Linked DNA regions of Diceros bicornis minor. The protein of the gene in region 1 purifies or fractionates together with the protein of each later gene. This does not show direct contact. Links are inferred from orthologs where the notes say so. Each region holds a gene or a part of one and is shown in the gene's direction. Other genes may lie near its edges.

The links.
Region 2: the proteins of OGT (region 1) and DIDO1 purify together in Homo sapiens (affinity purification with mass spectrometry; 3 studies listed by BioGRID and IntAct, with this or other methods). This does not show direct contact. The link is inferred for Diceros bicornis minor from reciprocal best matches to the Homo sapiens genes OGT and DIDO1.

Annotation. Positions count from the first base shown.
Region 1 is NC_080781.1:64,767,784-64,774,730, forward strand, and holds the start of OGT (UDP-N-acetylglucosamine--peptide N-acetylglucosaminyltransferase 110 kDa subunit), read left to right. Parts: upstream 1-3,909; 5' UTR 3,910-4,009; exon of another isoform or gene 4,010-4,105; 5' UTR 4,106-4,114; coding exon 4,115-4,151; intron 4,152-6,940; coding exon 6,941-6,947. UniProt on the Homo sapiens protein: Catalyzes the transfer of a single N-acetylglucosamine from UDP-GlcNAc to a serine or threonine residue in cytoplasmic and nuclear proteins resulting in their modification with a beta-linked N-acetylglucosamine (O-GlcNAc).
Region 2 is NC_080758.1:1,210,590-1,218,136, forward strand, and holds the start of DIDO1 (death-inducer obliterator 1), read left to right. Parts: upstream 1-4,494; 5' UTR 4,495-4,571; intron 4,572-4,838; exon of another isoform or gene 4,839-4,921; intron 4,922-5,190; exon of another isoform or gene 5,191-5,296; intron 5,297-7,547. Other genes in the region: GID8 (glucose-induced degradation protein 8 homolog), read right to left, coding at 228-425, 729-925, 1,950-2,067. UniProt on the Homo sapiens protein: Putative transcription factor, weakly pro-apoptotic when overexpressed. Tumor suppressor. Required for early embryonic stem cell development.

The DNA of each region.
Region 1 (6,947 bases):
ATTGCAGATCCAACTTTGAATAACAAAAAGCTCCATTTTCAGAGTCTTTGGTTGAATGTTTAATTAGATCACCAAATTGTCCCCCCACATCTGGCTGTTCATAAAAGCAAAACCTACCATTTGAGTGCTCAATTCTAGTGTGAAGTGTGTTACCATGGGAAGGAAAGCTCAAGCTTAAACTATAACTGTCATTAGAACTATCCTGAACAAGAAAAGAACCATCTGGAACATTTACTAGATTCCCTTCACCCTCTGAGCATGTAATTGGTCCCCAGTACCATCCTTATTCCGCAAGTTTTTTCAGCTCCTCTGTAAGGCTTGTTACAACCATAAGACCACTACTTTCCATTGAATCATAAACTCTTGCAACCTCAGGAGCAGAGTCAGGATCGAAATTCAAATAATAGCGCATACTTTCAGACACATGGACATCTGTGCCGGTGAGTCCACTGCAGTTCGTTTGCATTTGATAATTCTGCATTAGAGGTAGCAATGGTGAACGTGGAGGGACATCATCACGACTCGCTCTTGGGCTTTGCAATGCGACGCCTGTGGTGCCAATGAACAAGCCATTCACAGACTGATCCACAAAGATCTCTGGGGCAACGACTATGTCCTGGCCTACTTGATTTTCATTTTTGGAGAAAGAGTTCCCTCCCACTTGAGAAAGTACTGCAGAAACTTCCATGGGAGAAGAACTGTCCAGACAATAGCTAGGCGATCCTTCTAAAGGATGCATCCCCTCATCTACAGGCACAGAATACCAAACGCAGTCTTGAGGCATAAGTCCAATAACTACAGGCATGTGTTCATTGAGGTGAAGATGCAAGTCTCCATTTTGAGATTCTGAACTCTTCAATGAGTTATTTTGTTCTTAGCACGCAGTTTCAGGCTGAAGACTGAAAATCTTTTTGAACATTATTCCGTGCTGGACTTGGATTGGAAGAATAAACCTAGGCTTTGACTCTCACCTCCTCCATCTTGATACACGTATCCTCAGCGTTTGTAAGTCAAGAGGTCAAGGGGTAGGACTATAGGGATGATTGCCAAGGGAAGTGGATCTTATTGGTCTTTGAGCTCTCACATCTTTAAAGACTATTATTGGTGCTGAGGAGAGGAAAACGTATCCTCTGGCAGAGCTCCTGGAGGGTGGGCTCCCCTTGCCTTTCAGCTTTTGTTCTGCAGAAAGCCGCCTTTTTAGTGTACCCATTAGGCTTCCCTCTTAATCTATGTTTTCCACCTTTTTCATCTTCACTGTTGATATCACAGCTGGCCATATCTTTACCATAGCAGCTACCAAATAAGGAATCACGTTTTCCAAACTCACTGGCTAGTGATGGTTGTCATACTACCCTGAAATCAGTTTCTCCTTTACTTTTATTCAGGTTCAAAGATTTCTGGAAGGTTTTAAGACTAATTTTCTTCATTATGACTGGTTACCTAACCCAGGGGGCTCAATTTCTCTCTGGAATATTATCCCCAAACATCTGGAGAGCCTGTGGGGCTACATCTCTGTATTTTTCCAGCTTCCTTGAGCCTTTGGAGCCATTTTCCAGCCGCAGAGTGGCGGTGGCGGCCAGAGCGTGTCTCCCGCTCCCTCGCCCAGCGCTAGCGCCGCTGGTGCGAAATGTGTGTTGTTTTCAGCCGCTCAATTTGTGGTAACTTGTTACAAAGTAACAGAAAACGAAGACACCGTTAGTGGTGTTATTAGGATGGCAAAGTTTGGAATTGGGATTGAAGTGTGGCTGATTTATTTCAGATGATTCTGAATTTAGAATTGCTGCACATAAAAGGGAGAAAAAAAATAACCAGAAATCAGCGTTCAAGAGAACACACAAAAGCACCTCCTTCGATGTCCAAGTCAGGCCTTCTTCGTCACCCTCCTCCAGCCTGAAGTGACTGTTCCCTCCCCAGATATTTATAGACAGTAATATATTTCATCACCTAAATACTACTCTTCTGTTTTATGCTCTGGTAGCTTTTTGTGTCTACCTAACTGGGCTTCAAGTTCCTTAAGGGCAAAGATCTTGTCTTGGTGACTTTTGTGTCCGCCACAGTGCTTTGCACTCTAGTAAATGTTACCTGACTGGCCAAAGAAGATGTGTTTGTCAGATGAGTAAGTCCCTCAAACTAAACCCTCCAGGTGCTATTTCTGGAAGGTACCTGGAGGGGGTTCTTGAGACTCCAACAGGGGTTTTTCTTTATTGAACCACTGTGAGCCCCACTATCCAGCTTTCCACCCAGCAAAATGTATCGTAACATCCTCTGACTCTTCTGTCAGGATAAGGAACCTTAGACCACAAGTATCAATGGGCCAAATAGCCTGCCTGACTGGGAAAACGACCTGGCATCTAACAACAAAAAGAGTTTTACTTAATTAGCTAGCACCCACTAATCAGTAAGGCCTAAACATCTGCCAGTGGAATCTGAGAAGTCTGTTCTAAAAGTTGAAAAGCTGAGTTTACTCACCACAGATGGGGGCATTTGTGGGGGGGGGGGAGGACTTTTACCAGTTAAATCAAATTAAGAGAATAGATTGGTGCCCAATTTCCAGGAGAGTTTGTAGAGTGAACTTGGTCTTTTTCACTGCATGTGACTCTTCATTATGAATGTGATGGAGGAAATTATCAATAGTATGAATTTTCTCTGTGCTCATATCCATAATGAAAGTTTGTGAACTGTCTCAAAGAAATTGAAGCAGAACTTGAGGACTTAGGTTTTTTTTTTTTTTTAATGTAGTCAAATGACTAGGTAGTGGAAATGTTTTGAAGAAATTCACTGACCTGTTTTCTTAGATCAAGGACTTTTTGAAATAAAAAGGCTCTGAGAGATCCAACTTGTTGCCTCCATTGGTTTATAATAATTTCTTGCTGATGTGGCAAGCTACCCTAAATCTTTTCTGGAATAAGAGATGAGATGTAAATTAATACCAATGTGACAAAATGTCTGAATAGTGGATTTGAAACTGCAGGAAGATCATAAGAGCTCATTTCTTCAAGGAAGTGGAGGCAATTCAGCCTCCATCTAGATATGAGGTTTAAGTGAATTCATTTATTATTGTTGAACTGCTTTGAGCTAAACGAAATCACTGATTGTGATGATTTGCAAAGCTATGTGGTGGAAATGGAGTCACAACTCAGAAGAGTCATGGATCTTGACGAATATGAATCATCTTTAACATCTTTATGGCTGCCTTTGGAGTGCAAACTCTCAGCATGTTTCTGAGTTATGAAGCATTTGCCCTCATACTGTGAGCAGACCTATCCTGAATACCAAAATGATTTTGAAATTTCGGGCTATATGGCCACGATGTGAGATGTTTGGGTTCATTTGGCCCTGTGAAAGCATCAATCTTCTTTGTTAAAGTGCTTAAACCAATGGCTGGAGTCAGAATTAAGACGTGTTCAAATTGGGACCCTCCCCTATCGTTTTGAACAACAGTTCAGTCTTTGAAATATAACCATTTAAATTTACTTGCTCAGAATTGATCCATTAAACTTGTAACTATCCATTTTGGTACGAATAAAGTTGATTAAACTTTTTCAGATGTCTTTGGCATTTATATCAAAATCTTCACCATTGGCTAGCTAATAGACTAGACCACTTTGGCAAAAATGCATCCGTCACGTGTACGGGTTTCTTTTTACCCTTCCGCTTCACTAGTAAAAAACTTGGACGCTCCTCGCCCAGACAGTGCCCCAACCGCGAGTGCGGTTGACAGGGTTGCTCGCATGCGCTTTCGACAGAATCGTGTTTGTCGCAATGGGCCCCGCGCGGAAGGTTACAAAAGAGCTAGGGGATTCGAGTACACTCATTTTGTGGGTAGAGCTGGTTACCGCGCTACTTCCGCGCCGGTACTAGATTGTAACAGAAAGTAGTTCCGGTCCGTGTTGTTTCGGCCGAGGAGCCGTCGCCGCCATTTCAAGACCGTGAGAGGTAGATGGGCAACTAGAGTTCTAAGGTTCGAAGCCTGTAACTGCTGCCGCCGCTTAAGCCTGCCAAAACACTGGTACGGCTGCTGCCCTCCTCCTCCTACCTCTAGAAACATTCTTGCCAGTAGTGGCGGCAACAGGACTCAATTACCCCCCTCTTGTTTTTCCTCAAGAAGCTCCAGATGGCGTCTTCCGTGGGCAACGTGGCCGACAGCACAGGTACCGGTGTCCGTTCTACCTTAGCTGACGCCGCGTTGGGGTCTCGCGCCGTCCTCTACCTCTCCTCATTCCCTTCCTTCACCCTAGCCATCCCCATTACAGCAGTGGCATTGCGGAGCTTTTCGTTCTCTACCGGCGTCTGGTCGGGTTTTCCGCTGTCGTCCGCTCCTCAGACATTTCCTCTTGCTTGCTTGCTTGCTTTTGAATTCCATAAATTTTCCAGCTTTCTACTCTCTCGGGACGTTTCTACCCCACGTGCGCGCCTAGGATGTCTCGGAATGGACTGCAGTGGAATTCCTGTCCTTTGACTCGCCTTCGCAGCTGTTTTCCCCCTAATTCAGCTCATCGCCCCCTCCTCTTCCCCTGCCACATCCCCCTTTAGGCCTTTCTCCGTAGCTAGATCCGGTCCTTCGCTGTCAGTCTGGGGCGGGGGTGCCATTCCGATGGAAGCGTATCCTCACTGTGCATCACCCAAGGACGAGCAAAAGCTCCTCGGTGGGCTCTACGTAACCTCGAGAAGAGGGGATATTGAGAGCACCCCGCTGGGCAGCGCCTTTCGGGTGTTCCTTCGGTTGAGCGGCCCCGGTTTAGATTGGAAATTTCCAGGGGTTCCTTTCGCCATCGCCCAATTCCACCCGCTGCCCCCAGCCTGGATTTCCCACCCTGTGCTCCCTCCCTTCCCGGGGGAACCACACCCTTTCCTTCGCGAGGTTGCCAGCCCTGCAGTCCACTTCCTATCCTTGGGGAGAAGCCACCCTGGGGGCTTGGTGCTTTGGCGTTGACCACCCTGCCCGCCGAAGTCTCGCTTTGTGTTACTTTCTCCCTGTGTTCTTCCGCCACCGCTTCTGGGGCTTCCATCCCCATTCCTTAGCTCAGTAGCTCTTTATTCATAGGGTGTGTATTTTTTGGTTTCCATCCTTGCTTGAAGAGTTTGTAAAGCAACTGGAGTGTAGCTGCACAAGTGCAAGGCGGTTGCCCTTTTAGACAATTCAGTCGACAGCATTTGGTACTAAAAATAAGAAAACAACCAAATTACAGGAGCGTCCCTCAGCTGCCTTTCCATATTGAGGCTATTTGGGGCGGGAGGGGTGGGGGTGGGATTGGGCTGCGGTTCTAAGGTTTCCCACGAGGTTATTTTTTTGTTGTCGTTGTTTCTCAGTTGAGATGTGTCAAGGGTTTTATTTATTGTTTTTGGACATTGTGCAGTAATAGGTGAATCTTCAATCGTATCTTATCCATGATTGTAGACAGTGGGATTAATAATTAGTCAGTGGTCGCCTCCCGCCCAGGGACTTTTAAAGATTTAAGATTCTGTACTAGCTTGCCCTTTTCTAGGTGTATTATTTTATTTGAGGAAGCTGTCATTTAAAGTGTTAAAAATAGCGGATAAGCGGCTTTGAAAAGTTGATAAAATGTGTTAAAATAAGGAGCTAGGAAGTTCTAGAGACTTGTCTAAAATGTAATTTTGTAGTTTCTATTAGAGATAGAACCCCTCCCGGATTTGGATGCAAGTCTCTCTGGCTCTTGTGTTAGTCAGCTGTGCATTCTGTCAGGAAATTTACTTTGCTTTCCTGAGCATACAGATCACTCGCCAGCTCTCATAATTGGGGAGCTAGGCTCGGATTTCAGTTTGTCACTGTGACCTTGGTAGGATTTAAGTAATTTGTACATGGTTTCCCATTCCAACCGTCTAGTGAAAGTGCTATGGCCAAATTCCCAGTAATGTATCATTGTTTAAGTATTTACAATTGAGACTTAGTTTGTTGTTGTTCTTTTTCCCCTCTCTGAGCTTTACCCATATCCTTTAAGTATCTGAATTAAGTTACTTACAGCAAAGTGTTTTCATTTATTATTCATTCTGTTGCACATTATCAAATGGTTTTATGTTTTAGCATTTTCCCGTTATTTTTTTTAAGTCATTGCAGTTGTAGGTAACTGCTTGGTTTATGTAGGGTTGTTTGCAATGTCTTAATCCTTTAGACAATGTCAGTGCTCTCTGGAAAATGCTGGTGTCAAACCGTCGTGGGTGGGATTTAGTTAATTTGGTCTCATGAGTTTGGGATGGTAGAGGAGCTGTATAATCTTGGGTTTTTATTTAAAATGTTTGATGACCCCTTTAAATATTTTGGCTCTTGACAGATGAATTCATCTTGTTTGTCAGCTGTTTTAAAAATAGCACCTTGACTTTTAGTTCTTTTTTCCTTTTTGCTTGTTTCTAGTGTCGCCCTTAATTTAATTTTAAAAACTGAAGTTGTGAAATATACAAAAACATCAATATAATTTTAAGAGTTAAAAACTCATGGTGTCCCAGGTTAAGAGAGAGATTGTTGCCAGTACCCTACCCCCCACAAATCCAACCTAAAACATGGGACAAAGTATTAAATTTCCCAGTAGATTATTTGTGACCTTGTAAATCACGTTTTATATTTTGTTTCTTTATGTTACTTAAGGTATAAGGAATAATGTTTAGTGAATCTTTAGATACTACCTCTGGATTTATAATTTGAAGGTACAAAGTATTTTTGGTCATAAAATGTAATCTCATTTGGAAGTAAATATTTCTATCGAGTCTGGAAAAGAAAGTTAATGGGTGAATTCTAAAAATGCCAATTCTGCACCTGGTGTTAACTTGGGGGTATAAGTAATGTGCAGAACACTCTAGTGCTTTACATAGTTTCAAGCCTTTTCATCTTTAAGTTTAATATACCATATTTTTACATTTTTTTGTTTGCATTTCTAACTTTTTGTTTTCCCCCCTCCTTCCCTCAAATGTTTTGATGATTCTCCAGAACCAAC
Region 2 (7,547 bases), on another chromosome or scaffold:
AAATGAGAAAAATTGGCAAAAAGGCTTGAATATTATAAAGTCAGACATTCTGCTGTTCCTAGTTTAACACAATAAAAGATTAAAAATTAGAGAAGAATTGATGCTGTCACACCATACATGCCCAGAAATTATGTGTCTCTCATTCTACACCACAAATTCACCACACATTGTTTGTTGAAAATTCCATTAAGGGTGAAAAGGAAGACTTTCCTTTCACGGATCTTTACCTTCTGTCTCTGCATCATATTCAGGAGGTCTCCGAAGGGTGACTCTTCAGGGTTATCGAAGGCCAGCAGGGCCAGCGTGCGCTCCATTTCTGTCAGGCACTCTCTGCTCTCCTCGCCTTGCTCCGCCAACTGGGTCTGGGCGAACTCCAGCGCCGCCTCTGTCTCACGCTGGCGGATCAGCTCGATCAGGTGCTGTTGCTAGTCATGGGTAAAGGCAGACAGGCTCACACACCACACACCCAGGCAAGCGATACCCGGCGAGGGGCATTTGTTTCTGTCCATCTTAAAGGACAATTTCCTAGCATCTCTGAGTCACTAAATTTGCATTTTTAAAGCAAGAACTGGCTTCTGAAATACGTAAGACAACAGCTAACTCAAACCCCTCCCCCACATAAATTAAAACAATATTCTATTAATGCAGATTAGCCTCATTACTTCTGAATCGTTGCAAATAATCTTAACGAGTGTCTACGAACCAGATGCCTCTCAACCGAAACTCACTTGCAGGTGGAAGTACAGATACCGGTTCGTGTCCAGGAGTTCTGGATGGAGGCTGTTGATCAACGCAATAGCCTCCTGAATCTGGCCTTTCAGGATCATCTCACGGATTTTGATTCGCTCGTCAAGTGTTTCTAGATCCACACTAGGTTCGATCCCGGATTCCATTCGAAACTTTTCTGCTGCCTCCTTAAAGCCCTCTGAAAATGAAAACCATCTTCACTGCTTGGAAAGCTAGCAAGACATTAACACAAAGCCTTTTATCTCTAGAAAGCCCGTTTGCCTAGAGTAAGTCCCCTCCAACTTGACCCCTGCTCGTTCTTTGGGATTTGTTATCAACAGCTTTGTGATAAACTAGTCATGCCCGTGAGATACAGAGAATGAGAAGAGTGTACTCATTCCTCTCTACTCCATCCAAACAAACTCTAACCCACCAGCTACAGGGGAGAATGAATGCTAGGAAGCCCAATGTGTTGATGTGGGCTCCTTGAAGAAGGCTGCAATTCCAGGTAGGACGCAGAGAAACTGCAGATCTGGTCTAGGTGAGGCAAGACACACTGGCTATGCCCTCACAGTCGATAGGGACCTGCCACTCCCACCTTTAATGAGTCGACAATTCTCTTCAACATCAAAGCAGCGTTATGTGCCTCTCTCTACACACACACTCACACGCACAGCTATAGGCTGATATTTCCTCATCACCTTTCAAAAAAGGTCTTAACAGAGACTAACTGGGCATCGGGTACTGGGAACTAGTAGGAAGGAGACTTCCACCTTTTGGAAACATCTGGATTCTCTCACCACGTACAGAACTGCCCTTTCCTCTCCCACGTCAAGGAGAACTGAGTATCAGCCAGAGAGCACTTTTCTTTCCTTCCTAGGCTTGTGCCCTTCTCCCTTCCTCTTTTCAGTTGGGCACACCTTCTAGAAACAGTCCAGTATAATCTACCAGACTGGCCAGAAGAGATCAATTATTTGGGTTTTAAATGTACTTCACAACATTCTTAATTATCTTAATTAACGGTAAGAATGTCAGAGGCCAAAAACAGGTTTTTGCCTTAGGTCTCAGAGACCCGGAATAATCTCATCTCCAGAAGAGGGTACCTTCCTCACGATCATTTACTAAGTTAGCACCACGTTTGTACAATGCCTGAACACAATGTATCTTTATCATGGAACTTCAGTGGTAAAATTCTGATTGTGTGTACAAAGAGGGAGAATTACCTGTGACCAGGTAGTTCATGATGAGACGGTTCATGTCTGCTCGCTGCACATGTAAGTTATTGAGTTTCTCCATCCACTCATCTTTTGTGATTTCATCGGGTTTTTCTGCGTAACTCATTCTGATTTATTTCTACAGGAAAAAAAATATTTTAAGAATCAGTGAAGAATTCTATGACAATTGTGCTCATTTCAGAAATAAACACAGTGACATACTAAAAAGTAAAAGGGAGTGGGAAGATAATTTAAATCTGGAAAACAGCAAGCGCAAAGGGCCTGAGACCTGAGACCAGAAAGAAGGCTGGGGTGTTTAGAAGGCAGGATGAATGCAAGAAAGAGCCAAGGGTCTCAGAACTAAGAGGTCAAGAGGTTGGCTGGGGTCAGACTGAGTAAGGACTTACAGGCTGAGGGAGGAGTGTAGACAGATTCTCCTCTACGTGCAAAGGGCAGCTGTGAGAGGTATAAACTAAAGGATTACACACTTGTCTTATGTGCTCAAAAGAAGCCTGCAACTGTATACCCACCACACTGACAAAAATTACCAGTGTTAACAGAGATAGGGAGTTCTCTTGAACTCTTTACACTGCTGTCAGAACAGACTGGTGCTGCAAAAACTTTTGGCATTCCTTGTAAAGCCGAACACGTATGCTCCTTGCAGCCTAGCAAATCTACTCCTGTTAGATTGAGACCCTCAAAAACTCATCATACATCAAACACAGACAAGACTGTCTAAAGAAACTGTTCAAAATGGCAAAAATGTGGAAGACACCCACCCAGATGTTCATTTAAACAGCAGCATGGACAAGGAACTGTGGTTCACAGAACCAAAATCCCAAGCCCAAAATCCTGGGGCAGATATGTTTCAGAATTCAGAATTCTGCAGACTGCACAAACACTATATGGCACACTTTACCATACAGTATATGACATCCTCATTGGGGTCTGGGGCAGCACCTATAATCAAATATCATTTCTTCAACGAAATGTACGTGTACTCAAACTGAGTGGAATAGAGACTATTACACAGTCTTTACCAGGTCAGGGTTTACCATCAAATAGGTTAAAAACAAAAACAAAAACCTGTGCTTTTCAGAGCTATTTGGATTTTAGCATTGCTGAGAAGGGATTGTGATCATGTATTCACATAACAGAATTCACTAAAGCAGTTAAAGCAACACAGCCACATGATGACCCTTAGAAACGAGCTGGATCAATCAAGCATGTTGCAGCAGGGGCCCAAGTGTGGCAGACACTTTTGTAAAGAACAAAAACAAGACAAACTACATAATACATGCTTTGGCAATAAATACATATGGGCCAAAACTGTTCTGTTGTTGCTTTAAGTAAGGGTATGAAACACAAAACTAAGGAGGTGTTACTGTGGGAGGAGGGGGAGACAGGTGCCCACCCTGGGAGCACCTGCTGGGTTCCTGAGATGGGTGGTGAGCCCATCGCTGCCCACTTCATTTTCCTCCTCTGACATATACATCATGGATACTACTACATATAGCTAAGTACCTGCTAAACTGCTGAATAAGTAAAAGACGGCAAATGTGGGGTGGTGAGAGCTGAGCAGGAAGACGGGCAAAGAGCCACCCAAACAAGAGAGGGGAGCAGCAGAAGAGCTAGAGACACAGCAGATGGAGATTCTGTGGACACGGAGCAATGGGCCTTGCTGCTGGACTGAATGTGGAGGGATAAAAAAATGGGAAGACCTGAGGGCGATGGATGGGAGGTTTCAAGCTTGAGGTCTTGGAGGATGGAGCCACAGATGAGGGCGAAGGACCGGGAGAGGAACAGGTTTGAGGAGCAAGGCAAGTCTGGGCTATTACACATGCAGCTGGAGAAGTCAAGCAGGCACCTGGATTACAGGTCCCGAGCTCAGTGCTGGAAACATTAATTAGGGCAACATCTGCCAAAAAATGATAGGGAAAGCCAAGAGCTGGGCAAAGATCACCAAGGGAGATAGTGTGGGCAGGGAAGCAAAGGGGCACAAGACAAAGTCCTCAGGTACTTGGAGGACCCGCGACCTTAGAGATCAGCCCAGGGGGAGGCGCAGCAGAAGAAAACTCGCAGGGCAGGCAAAACCAAGAGACGCTGTCCTGCACAAAATACCCATTTCTCTGCTGCGGCCCACTGCACCACTCATTCAGGCCCTATTCTGATTCCCAGACAACAATTCAAGGTAACCGAGAACTAAGAAGGCACCTTCTCTCAGCGTCCACTGTAACCAGCAATCACCCCAGTACCACTCCCTGGCGTGGAGAGCGACTTTGCAAAGCAACCCCTTTGGAGAACTGGCCCGTTCTGTTTTGCGCAGGAAAAACTCGGCTGTTAAATATTCAATGTTTGATTCAAATCAAACATCCCAATTCTGAAGTCACGCAACCAGCCATGCACGTCCTGGCGAGCGCAGTCCCTGCTGAAGGGATTCTGCGATAACCTCGTTCTCTTCGCAGACACACATGTGCGACATCTCCAGTAACCACCGCCATTCCGGCTGGCGGCCCTTCCGAGCGCCGAACCTCCACTTGAACGCCCTCCCTCTGAGACCACACCGAGCCAAGCGCCCGCTCCACCGGCATGGCCCACCGCGACCGAGGAGAAACGGCAGTCTGACTGCAGGTCCGGAGAACGCCGCCTCCCCCGGGAACTCGCCCGATTCTGACACCTGCGGGGACCTGTGACCCCGTAAGGCCCGAGCGCGGTCCAGCGGCCTCGGGGGAAAGCCCCGGCGGCGCGGGGACCCGGGCCCGGCCCCTCCCGCGTCTCCTCCCCGGCCCCTCCCCGGCCCCCGCCCCGGTCTCCTCCCGCCCGGGTCTCCTCCCCCGTCCGCCGCGCTCCCGCCGAGACGCTCGGCCCGGCCGCCTGGGCCCGCCGCGGCCATCTTACCGTGCAGATCCCACCGCCCGCGCTTCGCGGTCCCCACGGCCGCTCGGGAGACCAGGCGGGCGGGGAGGGCGGCGGCGGCGGCGCCGGGGACGGGGAGGCGGAGGCGGGGGCCGCGGCGGAGGCGGGGGCGGGGAACCGGAGACCAGACGCACCGGCGGCCGCCCCCTCAGCCACTTCTCGCGAGATCGCGAGATCGCGAGCCGGCAGCCAATCAAGTGTTCCCGCGAGGGGGCGGGGCGCTGCGGCCGCCCGGAAGCGCGGATCTCCAGCTTCCGCCCTTGCGCAGAACACCCCTCGCAGCACCCTCGCTCTACGGATTGGCGCGAGAGTCAAAAGGCGTCGGCCGCCTCTGGGCAAGATGGCTGCCGTCGAAGTGTCGTGGTGGGGGAACTTCGCGCCGGGACGGCGACGTCTAGACTGAGTCGGAGGCGAAGGTCCCAGCGTCTCTTCCGTCGTTTGTGAGCCCGGAGGGCAGGGGGTAGGGGCGGGGGACAGGTGCCGGTGCTTCGTGCCGCCCCGAGGCGGGGGTCCCCCCGACCAGGCGCCTGCCTTCGCACAGGCCTGGGAGGAGCCGCCCGAGCGCGGCCGGCGGGAGCGCTGCGTTCTGTCTGTTGAGGCGGGTCCGGGGGTTGCCCGACCGTGTCGGTGAGCGCGCGCTCGCCCGCCGCCAGATGAGTCGACAAACAGGCCCGCCCTCAGGGAGCCTCCCTCCCGGGGACCGGTGGTCCCTGCGGCCCGGTGGTCCTCCCCGCCCGGGGCCCGGTGGTCCCAAAGCCTCGCTCAGGTTGGGCAGGGGCTGCAGGCGTGTGCGACGAGGGCCCCGAGGTGCCGCGGCCGCTGCCCGGCGCCTGGACAGTCTCCCTGTGCCGGAGCTGGGTTCTGGGGGACGCAGAGACGCAGAAATACACGTTTGCGCGTTTGTTTGCTTATTATTGTTTGTCTGTTCAAGAAGAACGCAGACTCCGTCAGAGCAAGGTTTTCCCACTGCGGGAGGGTAACGTTAAAGAGTTTTAGAGCGCTTCAGGAAGGAAATTGAAGGGGCAGCCTCTTATTTCATCCGATGAAATCCGACGTCTTCCTGAATTCGAACTCAGGAGTTAGATGGTTTCGTGTGATTGCTCAAAAGTGAACTAACGCGCAAGTGTTGGCGGACTTCTCCCAGAGAGTGAGTCCAATTTGCCAAACAGGTTTGACGGTGACTACTGGTTATGGACATTTTCCGTTATTGGAATGAGCTAATTTAGCACGTGCAAAGCTTTGACACAAATCTGGTATTTAAAACGCAGGTGCAGCAGCTGTCCGTAATCACGTTCTTTGCAGCTACTTAACTCTGCAAACACATTTGGATGTCAGCTTCATAGTGTGCGAGGGGGTGCAGAGTTTCAGAATTCTTTTCAAGGGTACACAGGCAAAAAGCTTGCATGCCAGTCCTCTAAGGAGATAGAATATTCCAGTCCAGGGAGGCTTCAGCTGCGCCTTCTCTGCGGGTCATAGGTTAACGGCCCCTCCCCCCAGCAGCCAGCCGGTTACCGAGTCTTGCAGATTCTACCTCCTCCATTCTGTCTAGAGACTGGCTGACTTTTTTTTTTTTTTTTTTTTTTTTTTTTGGTGAGGGAGATTAGCTTTGAGCTAATATCCGCTACCAATCCTCTTTTTGCTCAGGAAGAGTGGCCCTGAGCTAACATCTGTGCCCATTTTATACCTGGGTTGCCTGCCACAGCATGGCTTGATGAACGGTGTGTAGGTCCCACCCAGGATCCGAACCTGCGAATCCCGGTCCGCTGGAGTGGAGTGCACAAATTTAACCACTGCACTACTGGGCTGGCCCCAACTGGCTGCTTTTTATTGTTGCCAGCCTCTCCCCTGGAACATTTAGGCTATCCGCTCTGCTCCTTGGATTGCCCTACCGGCAGTCCTGCCAGCTCCTTTCTTTTTTTTTTTTTTTTTTAATTTTATTTATTTATTTTCCCCCAAGGCCCCAGTAGATAGTTGTATGTCATAGTTGCAACTAGAATCATAGTTGCACATCCTTCTAGTTGCTGCACGTGGGACACAGCCCCAACGTGGCCAGAGAAGCGGTGCGTCGGTGCGCGCCCGGGATCCGAACCCGGGCTGCCAGCAGCGGAGCGCGCGCACCCAACCGCCAAGCCACGGGGCTAGCCCTGCCAGCTCCTTTCTGAAACCCATGCAGCAGGCAGGGTGATCTCTCCTTGTACTCCTCACACACTTCCTGGACTCCCCAGCTGCCTGTGCAAAGTGAGCGCAGCTAAAAGCAGCACCACTCCTGCCTTTTCCCTCTCCACTCCAGCCATCTCAAGCTGTTTGAGGTTCTCTCCACTCACTAGGCTCTCTCACCTCTGGGCTCTCACATAAGACCCTTGCCTAGGCTGACTTCTCAGAGTGGGAAGACTCCCTAAACAAAGCTGGATGTAGTGCCTCTCCCGTGTGCTCACGTGATGTCCTGGGTTATTCCTCTGTAGCATTCGGCACACTGATCTAGATCACTGATGCCTCCTGGGATGTCACGATTCACCACAAACGTGAGCTTCACACAAGCTGAAGCATCTAGTACATGGTAGGAGTCCGTAAACATTTGTTGAGAATGTGAAGGAATAAGCGAGTGAGTGATGATGAAGACCTTAGCTAGAAGCAGTCTCAGGGGAAACGGACAAAGGGAGGGAACACTTTCAGTCCTTGGTGAAAGTTTGT